2 linked regions of the Oreochromis niloticus genome follow. The protein of the gene in region 1 purifies or fractionates together with the protein of each later gene. This does not show direct contact. Links are inferred from orthologs where the notes say so. Each region holds a gene or a part of one and is shown in the gene's direction. Other genes may lie near its edges.

Evidence for each region.
Region 2: the proteins of sin3b (region 1) and sap130a purify together in Homo sapiens (affinity purification with mass spectrometry; 3 studies listed by BioGRID and IntAct, with this or other methods). This does not show direct contact. The link is inferred for Oreochromis niloticus from reciprocal best matches to the Homo sapiens genes SIN3B and SAP130.

Annotation. Positions count from the first base shown.
Region 1 is NC_031986.2:44,244,180-44,252,098, reverse strand, and holds the start of sin3b (paired amphipathic helix protein Sin3b), read left to right. Parts: upstream 1-4,897; 5' UTR 4,898-5,185; coding exon 5,186-5,296; intron 5,297-5,531; exon of another isoform or gene 5,532-5,847; coding exon of another isoform or gene 5,848-5,853; intron 5,854-6,434; coding exon 6,435-6,541; intron 6,542-7,167; coding exon 7,168-7,321; intron 7,322-7,919. Other genes in the region: haus5 (HAUS augmin-like complex subunit 5), read left to right, coding at 284-438, 751-913, 1,082-1,162, 1,296-1,441, 1,600-1,696, 2,814-2,952, 3,110-3,242, 4,143-4,245.
Region 2 is NC_031986.2:32,733,503-32,741,507, forward strand, and holds the start of sap130a (histone deacetylase complex subunit SAP130a), read left to right. Parts: upstream 1-4,934; 5' UTR 4,935-5,172; intron 5,173-5,673; exon of another isoform or gene 5,674-5,744; intron 5,745-6,582; 5' UTR 6,583-6,598; coding exon 6,599-6,710; intron 6,711-6,787; coding exon 6,788-7,062; intron 7,063-7,511; coding exon 7,512-7,679; intron 7,680-7,763; coding exon 7,764-7,860; intron 7,861-8,005. UniProt on the Homo sapiens protein: Acts as a transcriptional repressor. May function in the assembly and/or enzymatic activity of the mSin3A corepressor complex or in mediating interactions between the complex and other regulatory complexes.

The DNA of each region.
Region 1 (7,919 bases):
CTTTAAATTGTTTGGGAAGGGACTTATAAACCCTCATGGGTAGCAACAGTGGTGGCACATATTTGAACCGCAAAGTGCCAAAAGTTCTGCTTCTATAGTGGTGCTCACATTTGCTGATGATCAGTTAATGAAATATGCAGAAGCAGTAAGGGTGGACTTATTTTTCACACATTATGTCCTGATACATAAAATCGTGATCAAACCATGATCATCTCTTTCTTTTTCCTGGAATCTGCGATTGGTAACTTTTTATGCATGGACCCGCATGTGATTGTTGCTGCAGGCTGCGTGGGAAGAAGTGGAGCAGAGCTTGGTGGAACTGGCCCAGACTCGCTCCAGAGTCCAGCAGCTCAAAAACCAGCTGCAAACCCGTAAGAAGGACGCTGAGCTCGAGGTGTCCAGTATTAGAGATGAGCTCCAGGATGATTCCTTGGCACTGTAAGTTCATTCCAATTCAATCTCTGCCTTTGCCATGCATTTTGTTATTTTTTTTTTTGCAGTACTGCAACTTGGGAGTTGGGTTTCTGTGAGGGGGGAAAAAAAGGTCCAACAAACAGCCACTGTTATTGTTGTTTTTATCTGAACGATACAATTTTTCTGTTGTCAACTCAGTTTTAAACTTTGTATTTGCATCCTGTTTGAAAACAGCTATGTGAGTTCATTTTAATTAGTGGTAATATCTTTAGAGGCAATAATTTTGTCTTGTCTTCTACTTGTGCTTTTTATTTTCCTTGCGCTCTGAACTCTTAGATCAGCTCTTGAGGTGGAACTACAGTGTGTGATGCAGGCAGCTGCCAGGGATTATATCAGAGACCGCTGCATCCAACTTGACCAACATGCCCAAAGTCGACAGGAGGCGCTAAGAAGCCTTCGCAGCCAGTGGCAGAGCATACTGGACTTCAGACAACTAGTGGTGAGAGTTGACAGACAGTATTTTTGGATGAAATATTTTCTACATGTATTATATACTGTAGATCTTTGGTCTAGATGTCTTATGTTTGCTAGGTGTGAGAAGACTGACTTTTCGTCAGCATTTGTTACATCATAAAAATAATCATGTTCTGCTTTCTTGTCTTTACAGCTTCTCAGACAAGAGCAGATCAGAGGTCTGATTAAGGGGAACTCGACAGCAAAGACGCAGCTGATTCATCTTCACAGAGAGGTCAGGATCAATGACAGTGAAATATGTTTGATGAGAGGCTTCAGTCTGGGGTGAAAAACGAGAGTGACTAAAATTTAATTCTTATGTTTTTTTGTAGCACTCTGAGGATTTTAATCTTTGCGTTTTGTCTCAGTTAGAGGAATTCATCCAGGCAAAACTAATGCCACAATTTGAAGATGTGACCGCTGCAGCCAACAGTCTAAGGAACGCTGTGTCTAAGGAGGCCAGACAGATGGGAGCAGTTTCACTTCTTTCACTGGACCGCAGAACTATCGAAGGGTATGAGCATGTTGCTTGGTATCCCTATATTTGCCTCATTGGTGGTACATCTGTGGCCCCAGCTGCAGTGAATCAAAACAAAAACATATTTAATTGTTGTCCTTGTCCAGGGGTGACATTCACTGACCAGAAATATAATTCCATTTTGTTTTGTTTAGTATGCAACGAATTCCTGCATCATGGTTGTCCATCCATCGCTTGCAGTCCCCGACCTTCAGCAGCTTGTGTCAGAGTCTGGCATTCCCTCTGTACAAGGTGATTTTTGGCATATAGTGTGTAAAGTGTTGCAGTTTTACTGTTTTCTCTTTGATTCTGCTCACTCTCACAGTCATGTTTTGCTACGGTTGCAATCTGTTTATAATGATATGGTGATTAATTAGCGAAAATTGCAAATCTGTGTCCCTCCCTTACCATCTAAATACCACAGAAATTCATTTAATTACTTGCATTAAGAGCCCAGCCAGAACCTCATAGGTTTAAAACAAATTCTTTCACAAATGGGGACGTAGTTACTGCAGGTCAGCAGTTTATTGCAAATCGACAGGCAGTTAGAGTCTTCTCTTACAAATGAACGCTCTGCAGACGAGCTCTTCTCTTCAGCTGACTCCGAATGATTGCATCATTCAGGCAGACTGTCTGTGTTTGTAAATTAGACTGATTATTTGCAGACAACCTTTGCAGTCGCCTTGTGATTGAAGGTGGTCGCCAGAGTTTGAGAGTGTTGCATGCTCAAACTCAGGGCGTCCAGCTGGAGTCGGTTGCTTAACGCTAAAAAAAATTAAATGCAGTCACCGGGCAACCACTTCATTCTTCCTTCCTTCCTTTGCTGAAAGGAGGTTACTATGATGATCTTACTTTAGTGTGACTGAGTCATTTGCTTCAGTAAAAGTAGATGTCAGTCAGTGGAGCATTGTTCTGAACTGGTGACATCATGATTTTTGTGTTGTATTATTTTAAAATATTCAACTTGTAATTTCAGTCACTAAAACAGTTTATTCAGTCATGCTGCCTGGGTAATGGCCTCCAAAGAAATCTTCTAAAGGGACTTTGTGACCGTCTCACTATCCTAACATCACTTGTGTTTTCCTGTGGCTCTTTCTCAAATGATTTTCTACAAAATCAGTGTTTGCAGCCAACTCTTAAATGTGCCCTAAGTGATTGTAACGGACTGTCATTGATCGATGCTGAACCCCTCACAACCAGAGATGACAAAAATTGCATCTTTGAAAGCCAGTTTCACTGAGCAGAAGGAAAATAGAGTTACATATACCAAAGCTGCTGGGAGGTGTCCTTTTTCACTTTTTTATTTTTCCTCATATATTGCATACTAGTAACTTTTTTGACTTTCTCTGACTTTCACACCCAACTTCAGGCTCCGGAGGAGTTGTGTTCCCGATCTCGCTCACAACAGCTTGAGCTGCGTTTTCTCCGTCAGTTACTTCAGCTTCACTCTGCCACTCTGCAGAAGATAAAGAAGGAAGCGGATCAGCTGGAGGCATCTGATCAAAAAGGTAACCAGGAGAACTTATCAAGAGAGAAGCGTTTGCTTTAAACACAAATGAGGGCAGTGTTTGGTGTACACGTACTTAATATGTTAGGAAATTTCCACAAAAAATAAAATGCTCGGTGGATTTTTAGTAACATACTGCTGTCTGTCTGCACTCTTAGCTCTCCTGTCCAGAGTCATGGAGGAGGACCAAAAGCTTCTCAAGTCTTTGGTACCAAGAGTCAGAGGGCTCACTCACCGCTGTGCACAGGGCCTTTCTTATGGGGACCAAGTCAAAACTGCCATCTCTTATTGGTGAGACACAGTTCTTAAATCGATGACCTGTTATTATTATTATTTTAATTGCTGCTTAATCGAGATTTCTCCTTTCTAATCTGGGTGTATTTTTACAAATTGAGATCTGGGAATTACCTAGAGTGACACAGTTACCTGAACAACATCTGCAAGTGAATGGATGAGTTATCACTAAAAAAGCATGTTTTAAACACTCATTAGAACTACTTCCTGGTTTAACCTTTAGACAATACTAAGATTATTCGTGCACACTTTTGTATGTGTTTTTTCTTTCCAAATGTAAGTGATTTAGGCAGTTTTAATGATCTTTCATTGATTGTCTGACGAGGCTTTTGTTGCTGGAGTCCATTATGAAGAGATAAATGTACTTGCCATTTTTAACTGGTTACCATAATGTGATGGATAAATTACACCTGGTCAGTGATTCTGATTATTACTGACTGACTGACATCTCATTATTCCAGAGTGAATATACAGTCTTGGACTAAAACCTTTTTTTACTGGTGATCTTCTAGATTTTAGATTTTTTTGTAGAAAATGTAGAAGCTTAATCCAGGTACAGAAACTGGCTGATAGTGGTTTAATTCATCTAATTATAGTTTTGCAGCTCAATCTATTTAAAAAAAAAGAAAAGAAAAAAGACCAGCTTTCTTAATTCATTGGTAGTAAACTAAGTCTTAAACCTTACTGTTAACTTGCCTATCTACACACAGGTGATTACACCATTTGTAAATGACTTCATGGCTTGAATTTAACCCTGCCAAAACATTCATGCCAGTACATCTATCTGAGGCCAATATCTAACTGAATTTATTGGCTCTAATTATTTTCCATTCATGCCCTTGCTCAGTAGTCCAGCGTCTCATTCTCTGGTTAACTTCCCTGTTTTGTGTGTTGTAGGTGGGAAAGGCCAGCCCAGCATGTTCTTCCTGAGGTCAGTAAAGGAGGACTGACTTTTCAGCAGTGGTTACAAAGGTGGAAACTAGCAGCAAAGTCCCCATAGTTGAATACTATGATGGATTCCTTTCAGCACCTTTCAGTGGTAGAATGAACACTGTGTTGTAGATATTTAATGCACAAATGGTGTTTGTTTGTTTTTTCTCTCATTTGTCATCATTACTCCTAATGTCTTACCATGTGTAAATCAGTCACTAATAAACCCTTTTGAAGCGAAATATTTGTTCCTTTCTTCTTTGCGTCCTCATATCCATTGAAGTTGTTTAAAACTGCCTCTGGCTCCTGCGTTGGAAAACCAAGCTGAATCCATTGTGAATGCCCTCTGAATGAGCCGTAGGTGTCTATCAATAGCCCTGTATCGATCTTTCTCACAGTCGGCATTCGGTCCACCGTCGAGCTCGTATTCGTGGGCACCGTTGTGGAGTGTGCAACCATCCTTTGCATGGAGTAGCGCTGCTCCTTTGTAGCAGTGAAGGGGGAGTGGAGCAATCTGATTCTTGTGAACTCAGCTCCTCCCATCGCTGCGACTGCGCAGTTCAATTTTTCACTTTTTTTAATTTTTTTAATTTTTTTTTTCACTCCTACTCTGGCTTCCGGACGCCAAGACAGAGCGCTGCCGCCGAATTTAAAGAGACAGGCTTTAGTTTTTTTTAAATACGAAAAACGGTAACCATTGTCTCTGGGCTTATTTTCCGATACTTCTCGCCTGGGCTCGTTTAATTCGATGGTGATGTTTCATCAAAGTCACCGAGAGTAGCAGGTTGTCTGTCATCAACCTTCATTCTGCTGGATTTCCCGTCCTTTTTTTTTTTTTTTTTTTTTTGCCTCTGTACCTAGACTGTCCAGCTAGGCAGAGTAGGGTTGCTTGCTGGCAGGCTGGCTTCCCGACCGAGAGCAAGGTTTGTCGGCTAGCCAACAACTGGAGGTAACGCCGAAGCTTCCCTCAAGTTGTGGTAGCGGCTCTCGAGCCTCCTGTCGCCGGGATAATGGCGAAGATTCAGGCGCACAGCACCGCGAAGCAAATAAACCAAATTCAAGACAAGCCTTACGTTATAACACAAAAGCAAGTGCAGCAGCAGCACTTCCAGAAGCTGAAGGTAAGGAGACAACGGACATGACAAGGGAAAAGTGGCTGAGAGTCAGAACCATTTTGTTCGTCGGATCATTGCATTGGATTTGAGGCTTTTTTTTTCTCTTTCTCTCTACTGTCGTCGAGAGTAGTGAAAGGAACGGCTGGCTAACGTTAGTTAGCTCGCTGGCCTATTAAAAGTAATTCATTGCTAAACAGCCTAACGTTGACATTTAATGTTGGATTTAGAAGCTGTGTTTCGTTTAGTGTATGTGCGAGTGACAGTGGAGTGGCACAGTTAGTGGTACTTTCTCATTTGCCATATCAATAAGTGCTTCTGTGAGCAAACGTTAACTCAGACCTCGTTTGTGGGAAGTTCCTCCTTGTTCGTTTTTTCAGCCACCCCGAACAAAGTGGAGGACGTCAGCCAGGCTAGCCAAGAACGGCTATTTCACTTCATTAGCAGCTTCAGTACACGTTTCTTTGTTATAGTAGTGTTTTAATATGTCGTACTGTTTTTGCCAACGCGACACTGTTGGCCGGGGACCAGCTGTGACTAAACATATTGTATAAATTTGTATGCGGGTAGGTGTTGCAAGTGTTGGTGGAGTTATTATCGTCAGTCGACTGGCTAAACGTTAGCTACAACAACCCTCTTTAAGATGTGGACTATTTGTGACAATGGCTTGTGTGAAGACATTTTTTCCCCCTTTAGCGCAACCTAAACTAGCCTAGCTGTGGTAGCGAAAGAAAGCAGTGGAGTAATGAACAAAAGCTGCCTGGTGTCTCTTGTGTATGCCCAGTTATTTATTTATTTTAGCGTTAGTTGTACAGCTTGTACTGCTAACCAGAGGATTTGTTGATGTTGCACTTTGGCTGATAGTGAAGAAATCGGTCAGCATTCACGTAACTTCACGTATGCAGCACTGAGACAAATCTGTACGATGGGGCTACCTGTAATTTCATAGTACAAATCGCAAATAAATGCATTTATTAATAAATGCAAAACGTAGCATTTGAAATCTGTAAACAAGCTTTGTAGCTGTAAAATTATCTACCGTGAGCACCATGACTGGATGCTGGGGAAAATGCTGCTCCATACATCCAGCTGAGGCTGTCTGTGCTTTGCTCTGTACTGATTTTTCCTTCTTCTTCTCCATGTTTAGGTTGAAGATGCCTTGTCATATCTGGACCAAGTCAAAATTCGTTTTGCGAATGACCCTGGGATATATAACAAGTTTCTCGACATCATGAAGGAGTTCAAGTCGCAGAGGTATCATTGGGCATTTATGCAAACAAACCACAAGTAACTACTATACAGGGGCACACAGGGAACACAGGGAACACACTGATTTCTGTTGTGCAGTTTTTAAGGGAGGTGGTCCAGATCCACTTTAAAATACAGTGGGATCTTCATTTCCCCATACGCCACCAAGTGTTATGAAATTCAGCTTAATGGTTTTTGTATAATCTTGTGACCAACTGGCAGCTGTACCTCTGCTAAGGTGAAAACCAGAAGTAATAGGAGTTCTAGTAATGCATTCTTAATGACATACATTCCCATACATATTCTTTAGATGGTGATTGTGCTGCTTGTGTATGGAGTTTCATTACGTTGTGCAGTTTAATCCTTGACTAGTTCTGTTTCACAATCTGGAGTTTATCAGTGCATATGATACTGCACATAGCTTCTTACTATAATTATGCGACAGGTATTATTATCTTGAAATTAAACGAGGACTAAAAGCATTTCCTCTTTGCTTCTTTTTCTTTAAAGCTAACTTGTATAGCGCTTATTAATAACTTGTTTTCTGTTTGTGCTTTGTGGTGTTTGAGAGAAGTACTTAATCAGTGTTTCTCAACCAAACTTCTAAAGTATCCGTATGTCTTCTGAAATAGCATCGACACACCGGGAGTGATAAACCGTGTATCACAACTGTTTCATGGACACCCAGACCTCGTCTTGGGCTTCAATGCCTTCTTGCCACCGGGGTATCGGATAGAGGTCCCTAAGAATGGGATGGCTTTCCTTCAGTCTCCTTTCTCTGCACAGGTAAGATACTCTTTTTAAAGAAAAACATGCTTTCTGCTTTACTGATATCTGAATACAATGTACAGCAGGGTATGCTGACGGCATTATATGTTTAAGACCACAGAACATCTTAGGAGGAAACAGGTGTGCTTCTACTGCCCTGAACTTCAGCTGAATGATCTGCCTGAAAAAGCCCTCACGAAGGTTTCACTACAAAATGTGACAGCAGATTTGTCTGTCTGGTAGTTGAACAAAATTTCAGCTGGAGTTCTGCTTCTTCCTGTGCATGTTTGGCTGAAACAAGCACTTAAATCCCATCACAAAGAGCCAAATATATACAAGTTGTATATAAAAAGAATTTCAGAGATTAGGAATCTATGTTAGACTTTAAAAGAATTTTACGGTCTGATACAAAAATAACTACACTGAGGAATTTGTAATGATTTCACTCGGTGGCATTCAAAACCTATTTGGTCCGTGTCAGATTGAGTTAAACTTTTATATGTTTAAGCTCTTTCAGTTTCTGTGTACAATTTTATTATTTTAAAGTAAAAGCTGGGAACTAACTTCCAGTGATGTTTTGTTCTGAGAGATGGATCGTGCTTAGGTAGTGGATGGC
Region 2 (8,005 bases), about 12 Mb from region 1:
TGTATGCATTCCACATACATGCGGACCAGAGCATAACTTACAAAGGCTGTTGTCAGGTCTGCTCCATTTATCGCCACTGTGACTCTTGCCAACTGTGCGAGTGATTCAATCAGAGTGGATCAAGAACAGATGTCAATGTTCTGAATTTTGACTTTGTTTGTTTTTCATGGTATGAAAGTGCAGACTCGTGTGAAATGCACTCCACATAATTCATGCTTCATCTACAGTCAGAAAAATGTTAAAGTCAAGCACCATTTGAAGCAATGTGAGATACAATCGGAGTGTGTGTGAGGAATGAAGGGGACAGTTGGTAACAAATCATCTGTCCTCCTTTCCTTTTGAGCACATTTTGTACTAAAGGCATGTGTGAAATATTTGGAAAAATAACTGTGGGGCTCTGTGTTTTGCCTTGATTTCCATGGAGATTCCAAAACTTCCTGCCTACAGCAGCCATGGAATGTGCCCCCGCCCCCTCAACGTTTCCACATAAATCAGGGCACTGACTTCTAATTTTAGGGATGTTAGAGAGACGATGCAAATCTCTCAGAGGAGGCCACTGGCAGCAAATTTTTCGGCCTGAGTCCACTGCAACATTATTTGCTGAACTGCTCGACTTTATTCAATTAAGCTTTATTTATAAAAAGTCAGTGTACAATAACAGTCACCTCTGTGTAGTACGGTAAAGACTCAACAACATTAGATCAAATGAGCACCACTTGGTGATGGTGGAGACGAAGAACTCCAGCAGAAGATGCATCCAGAAGGGAGGAGCTGACATCTTAGGGGAGAAAAGGAGCTTATTCTGCTCTCCTACTTCAACCCAACGTCACAGCAAAGCTCTGTCGATTTCAGCTGAGCATTGTTTGGGTGACACGTCACTCTCTGTCACGTTCTCATGAGGATGATGCCTTTTTATCTTGCTAACGTGCTTTGTCTTGGGTTTTTTTAAGACAAAAGTCCAAGTCACCACTATCAGCCTCTGCAGCGTTTTATCAGCGCTGTTCATGTACAGCATGTCTTTAAGCTCCATCCATCTATTTTCTTCTTACCCAATGGGCTGGGGCCTAGAGCAAGACGGGGGCACACCCTAGACAGGTCACCAGTCGATAGTAGGACCAACATAGAGAGACAGACAACCATTCACACTCACATTCGTGCCATTATTCAATTTATAATCTCCAATCAACCTATGTATATCCTTGGATAGTGGGAGGAAGCTGGAGTACCTGTAGAGAACCCATGCAGACACGGGAGAACGTGCAAACTCCCTGGCCAGATGGTGGCTTTGAACCCAGTTCTAACCTCAACTCCACTCTGCCCATCGTGGACCCTCAACATGAACGTCTGAACACGATCCTCCATCTGCTCTCTGGCCATGTGTTTATATTAGCCTAACTATATCTCTTTAGCTAGCCACCAGTTAGCACATCATTATATATCTACATCTGGGCTAATGTCAGTAACTTTCTGCTAAACCCTATAAAAGCTTTTTTTTCATGGATGCCTGGACATGAAACTTTACTGTAACACCTGGGAGAACAGCCAAACTGATCACTTTATTGGAGCTGAAAGAATCTGGAGCTTTGTGAGCTCTCTGTGGTGCCTCAGTGTTTGATTGAGTTCAGACATAATGACTTGTTTAATTAATTGAGTTGTGAGGTAATGAAGCTGCCATGTTTGAAAGGGGTTCTTGGGGAGAGTATACTTCATTAACCACGGAGAACCTCTCTTTGGCGGTTTGGCTGGTTGCTGTCTGGGTCTGCTAGTGGTTTCCAGTGAATCAACTGAGCTGCACAACCCAGAAAGGCCGATTCACTGTAGGGAAGGAATTATTAGATGAGTCAAAACAATCTGTGTCTGTAGCAACACGGAGAGACATGCTGCAGAGGACAACCTCCAGGCCAGAGAAAAACCAAAAAAACCAAAAACAAAAATGAGTCAGCGTTAAGATCAGACATTGTACAGCTGTGAAAAGTCACTTAACTGAAGTCTGAAATGGTTATGAGTAATTAACAATGCCGACAAATGAGTAAGAGTCAAACTGGTATGTCACAGAAAAACAGTGTTTCTTTCTTTTGCTTGTACTCATGTTAACATTTCCTTGAATTTTAGTCACTGATCTTACTAACTTACTGCTTACTTCCTTGGACTCATTTAATAGTACCAAATAAAACCAGTCACAAATAATATCCAAAGAATTCACGAGCGTTTCACAACTTAAAGAAACATACCGGCAGGTGTATGTGAGTAACTGAATGGGCACAGCTGGGGAATTCCAGGGCATGCCTCAGCATGCAGCAGTGGTTGAATAACCCTTTATGATCCAGGTGGATATAAATGACGACTATGTGGAGAGAGCTGATCACTGATGAAAGATCGTTTGTGAATTTTCACTCATGTTAATGCAGATAAAGGACTTGACACTGTTTTAACCCTTAAGTGAAAAAATATTGTAGTGACTTAAATAACTGTTATATTTTATATTCAGATATACTCTTTTAAAAGGTTCTGTTTTAGTTTATCGTACCAATACCCTTTACTTTGTATATGATAGAGATCATAAAATATTCCAATGTCAATTATTATGTTCAGTCATTTTTATACAACCGTCTATTGTCTTTGTTCCTGGAGCTGGTTATATGTTTGAAGTTTGGAGTCCTGGTTTAATCATTGACGTGTGAAGTTTATGAGTTTGATTTTTGTTTAGTTTTGGGTTCCAGTATTGGTTTTATTATTACTCTTACCTCCCTGTGTTCCCCTGTTTTGTGTTTACTAGGAGTTTTCCTGTTCCATATTTAGCAGTGTCTATTTCCTGTTTTACTTTGAAAGAGTTTTTCCCCCCTGTGACTGCTTGCTTCAGTATTTCTGTTGTCTTGACTGTTGTTGTTAAGTACTATGTCCTTCATCTCTTTCAACTCTTTTGTATGATCCCAGTCAGGCACCAGTATATAATCTTATGAAACTTCAGCGAAATTCAATATTAATATCCTAGATTATAAAAGTATATAAATGGCAGAAAACATGAAAAAAACATAAAAGGTGCCATAAAATTGATAGTTTTTTAGCCTTGAAAAATAGTGCATATAATTAAGTGCATATATAAGTGCAATAACTAAAAAGTCTCTGTCAGCAGCCCATATTTACTTACATATTTACTTACAATAAAAGAGCAATTTTGGATTGTGCTAATGGAGGGCAGCACATTTCCAAAACAGGGCAAAAGAAAAAGGCATGGCATCAGCAAAGTCGCTGGGCAACAGAAATATCTGTGCCAAATTCATCCTACAGTTGTTGAACCGACCTTTAAACAGACATTTCCACCTGTTAGCTAAAAATCAGCTAGAGTCCCAAAAACAGCATCATAAATCAAATCATTTAAAAACTATATAAAGTTTCATATGTCCTAATCCTGTCCTATCTATTTGATCACGCTGATGGTATGAGATGTGTAGTTCGTAATCCAGCAGCTGAATAGCCTAAGGATATGACCCAGAGTTGTGCATAGTTTTATATCTTTCCAATGGTTTTTATTTTGCTGTATACATTTTTTTTCCAGATGTGTAGTTTCACTGTAATTGTAGTCTCAGTAAACAAAGATAAACTAAAGCAATAATTTTGACCAAAGCAGAAAATCACAGAAAATATTGTTCTAATTTTTCCCCTTAAGCTTAGTTCTTATTTTTATGTCAGTTAGCTAAAATATTTATATTTTTACATGTACTTCTACATGTAGTTAATAATAATAACTTTGACATATATCAGGGGAGCTTCCAGGATGTTTAAAAAAATGGCCCACAGGAAATCAAAAGATATATGATCAGAAATATACATGGGGGAAAGGTGGCTAGGTAAAAATCTGGATTTGGGGGCTGGTACAGATGTTTTACATGAAAAGGGACTGAAGAAGTGTTTGAGCATAATTTTTTATTTAAAAGCTGCTTTAAATATGAGTCATAACCCCACCCACTAATGCAAAAAAATGTTATCACTGAAATATACTTAAAGGACCTAAAGTAAAAATACTCATTATGCAGATTCACATATGTTATTTAAATGCATTATAATTATCAGTTCATCTTTAAAGAATGTAAAGATGTTTTGATGACTGGCTGCTGCTCTCTAGTGTTTATGTGCAGGTATTACAGTTGCTCCTCCTCTCAAACTGACGCCTGGTGTGCTGGGACTGAACTACATGCCAGAGCCTTTTTAGTACTGGGGTAAGCATAAAGTGACAGAGAACAAGATGTCTTTAACGGCTTGGATTTTAATGTTTTGAAGCTTTACTTTAAGTTTTGTTCCTGTCCTTGTGATTGGTGACAAAAGGATAGCAACATGAGTGAAAGGGAAGATTTAGAAGCTTTCTTTGTGTGTTTTGCATCTAAGTGAAAATGAAAACATAAAAAAATAATAATAATTAAAAAACCTAGGGTATTTTAAAGGGGATATGTTTTATCTGATTTGCAAATGGAGACTGATCTCCCGTTTATTAAAAAACAAAAATCAGACAGTGGAGACCATTTTAAAAGAGTTTATTTCTCCCGTAAATCTGGAAATTTGCGTGTTAAAGACAGCTTAACGTTTAACAGGATTTACGATATTTAATTACATTTTAACAAGTAGTGATTATTGGAATATACCAAGAGTTGGTACATTATGAGGGATGCCTGGAATCCTTTTCTTTACATATATTGGGGTGTTTTTTGTAATTTAATTCTTGAATTATGTGTCTGGTCGCTCATTTCTTTGAATTAATTACTTTCTGTGCGGATATTTCATTGCTGTTGAAGCATAGACAGCATCAAGTGGCCTTTAGAGGAACTGCAGTTTTCTGCGCTTCCGCCTTGGCTTCCTTTTTTCGGAGGTTCCCACTTGGCTCCAAAGTGAGCTCGATTGCGTCCGTCGATCACGTGACTAGAGTGTCTTAGCGTCTCCCCCAGGTCCCCCTTAACAACCGCCTACCTCCCTCAGCCCGTTGTACTACTTTATGGCGCTAAAAACATTTCTATTGGCCAGCGATCGAGCAGTCCCTTCTCTGGTTGGTTGAATGTAGAAAGTAGGTGCAGTCCTTTCTCAGCGGTCTTCCGGCTTGCATTTTGTGAGTGAAAAAAAGAAAAGACGAATGGAAAAATTGTAATCCACAAAACGAGCATTGCCCAGTAACTCATCGATACGGTAAAGTCTGCGCATACACAACAGCCTTTTTGTCCTTTTAGCTGTAGAAAGTTCGTGCCGCTGTAGTCTGTAGAAAGTTCAGGATTTGGCATGAAAAGCAGGTTAGCAGGGCTAGCGCTTCCAGTGTTAGCATGCTGCTAGGTGGGATAGCTGCCTAATGAGGCAGCTTTTCGGTTTTAGGGTTACAGAGGCTAAAACAGCCACCACGGTGGATAGTATCTGACTGAGCTGAAAACGCGTGTGATTCTAGCTGAAAGGCCTTTTCTGTGCATGCTTGTTAACGTCATATTTGGTGCGCATCGACTCAGTTTGCTGTCTGTCATACGATACCGACTACATAATGTCAAACAAAGGTGCTGAAGCTGTTCGATCCCTTTCAGACATTCAAATGTAGCTTTTTCTGTGATTTTAAACACCTCTTAATTTCATGGACACGTCCTCTGCCCTCCGTCTGTCCGTTTTACGTTCCCGCGCTGCATGTGAAGGGTTAATCTACAGGGCTTTTGTTGTTGTTGAGGTCCTCGGACCGGATCGTCGAGAGCAGACGTTTTCAAATGTTTTGTGACCAAAGGGTGAGCTAAAATTTCACGGCACACTTGTATTTATACCTGGGGAAAATAACCCTACATTCAGGCCGGGAATTTAACGCCATCCCGGGATACTTAAGCTAGCCCTGTGGTATTCAGGGCTTACAGTCTCAGGTTGTCTGTACGTGGCTACAATAATTCACTTTAATAATTGGATGTTTTAGTATTTTCAGTGAGAGTGAAGAGAGTCTGTATCCATAACTATGCAAAGCACGTCCATAATGAACAGTTATGCCGTTATTTAAGATATTTGTGCCATAAATATATTTCATTTTTAAATCGTAGTAGGCATACAGCGGCTGTCTTTAGTTTTTGCCAGTCTGGAAAAAACCCTATTAGAAGCTGAACTGTACTGTGCAAAAAGTACATTAGGAAATGGGTGCAGAAATTATTTGAAACATGCAAACATACATGGAAATGGAGTACATAAGGCCAAAACGGAGTTTGTGCAATTCTAACGAGCTTGCATTCCTAACGTTTTGCATTCATAATTATATTAATTTTCAAAACATCCTCAACATGACTGAGCCTCCATTGTGTTTTACAGATGGCGGTGGAAACTCACTTTTGAACCTCTTTCCTCACCTTCTCCCGTTATATCGACAACAATTTGACCCCAAAAATCTCACTTTTTGATTAATAACTCCATCAGACCAGTTGTCACAGATTTTCAGTCAGTTTCTTGTGTGATTTGGCAAATCTGGCATTCCTTAGCCTTTTCTCCCTGTTTCTCATGATGCCTACGGTGGTGTTTTTAACTTTTAACTTTGTCATATCATGTGTGCATCTGCTTTGGAGTTAATGTTGCATGTTCCTGTTTTAGATAATAAATAGTTAAAATGAGCTCCCAGCAATTCCCCCGACACGGGCTGCCTGCTTCCGGTGGAGGAGCACCTCAGATCCCAGCGGCTGGAAACCTGGTGCCTGTCAATCAACCGTCAAGCGCTTCAGGTAACATTTAATCACACAAAAACGGCAGAGAAGATGTAAGTGTGTAGTTGATGTCTAATCAAGTTGTTTTTCCTTAGGTGGAGGTGGTGGAGATGCAGACAGCAGTCGGGATGGTGACCACGGTCAGCATGATCATCCACCTGCCGGTGGCGGGGGAACCTCGGCGTTCAGAGATGAAAAGCAAGAGACCATGGTGGTCAGACCATACCCACAAGTACAGACGCAGCTCGGCCAGCCTCCAGCTGCCACCCAAAACGTGGCCATTCAGCCCGGCACACCTGCGACCCTACCTACCCCCTCTGTCCAGCTCCCACAGGGCCAGCCTGCAGTGCTTACTGAAAGCCAGATGAAGGTGACCTTTAAGTCTCTGTTTGAGTTTCTATAAACTTAACCATCTCCAAAGTAAAAATAACATAATTTACTCACTTATATTGGCATCGTTTTCTGAGTGTAGCCACTGTTCAACATAACATTTTCCCCGCGGTCTCAGTTTTTGCAATTCCTGAAAATAATAAGATGCCAATTTTCCTTACTTTTTTAAAAGTATGTTATTGTAGACCAAGTTACCCAACAATAAATTAAAAAAGATCAAATTAGCTCTGAAGTACCAAAAGGTTCAGTAAAACTCTGATCTGTGGGGGAAAATATTATGCTGTAGACAGGCATCTCATCATAGGATATTTCTTTTTTCACTTGAGCTTGAACTTTTCACCTGGGCTGTCTGAATCTGATCATCTAGCTCGTATTATTTGTTAAAACAAACAGATGTTAATTTTTTTTTTTGATTGTGTCTTTTTTCAGGCGGTCTTGAAGTCACCGATGCCAAGTCGTCTTATTGCTCCAGCACCAGCTTCCAACCAGGCTCATATGCCCATACCCCCCAAGGTGCCTGGTCACATAACGGTCACCATCGAGAGCAGCATCGCTACCACCCCGTCTATCCCTGTGGCAACCATCAGTGGTCAGCAGGTGAGTCTTTTCTACATTTGCTTTTAATGTTTGTCTTTTTCCTGCTGATTACTAAAGACCTGTACTGCTTTCTTGGTGTTTAAGGGTCACTCAAGCAACGTGCACCTGATGCCGAACTTTCAGATCATCAGGACCCCTGCTGCAGTTTCTCAACAGAACTTCCCACCACACTTGCCTCGAGGTATATAGCGAGGAAGACTCCTGTGGGAGTACCTTTAGTGCAACTTTGGGAAACGAGTACTTGTAAATGATCTGTCAAAGAGAAAGTAAAATTTAGATGCGGACTGATTTGGACAGTCATCTCCTAAATGTTGTGGACAGTATGT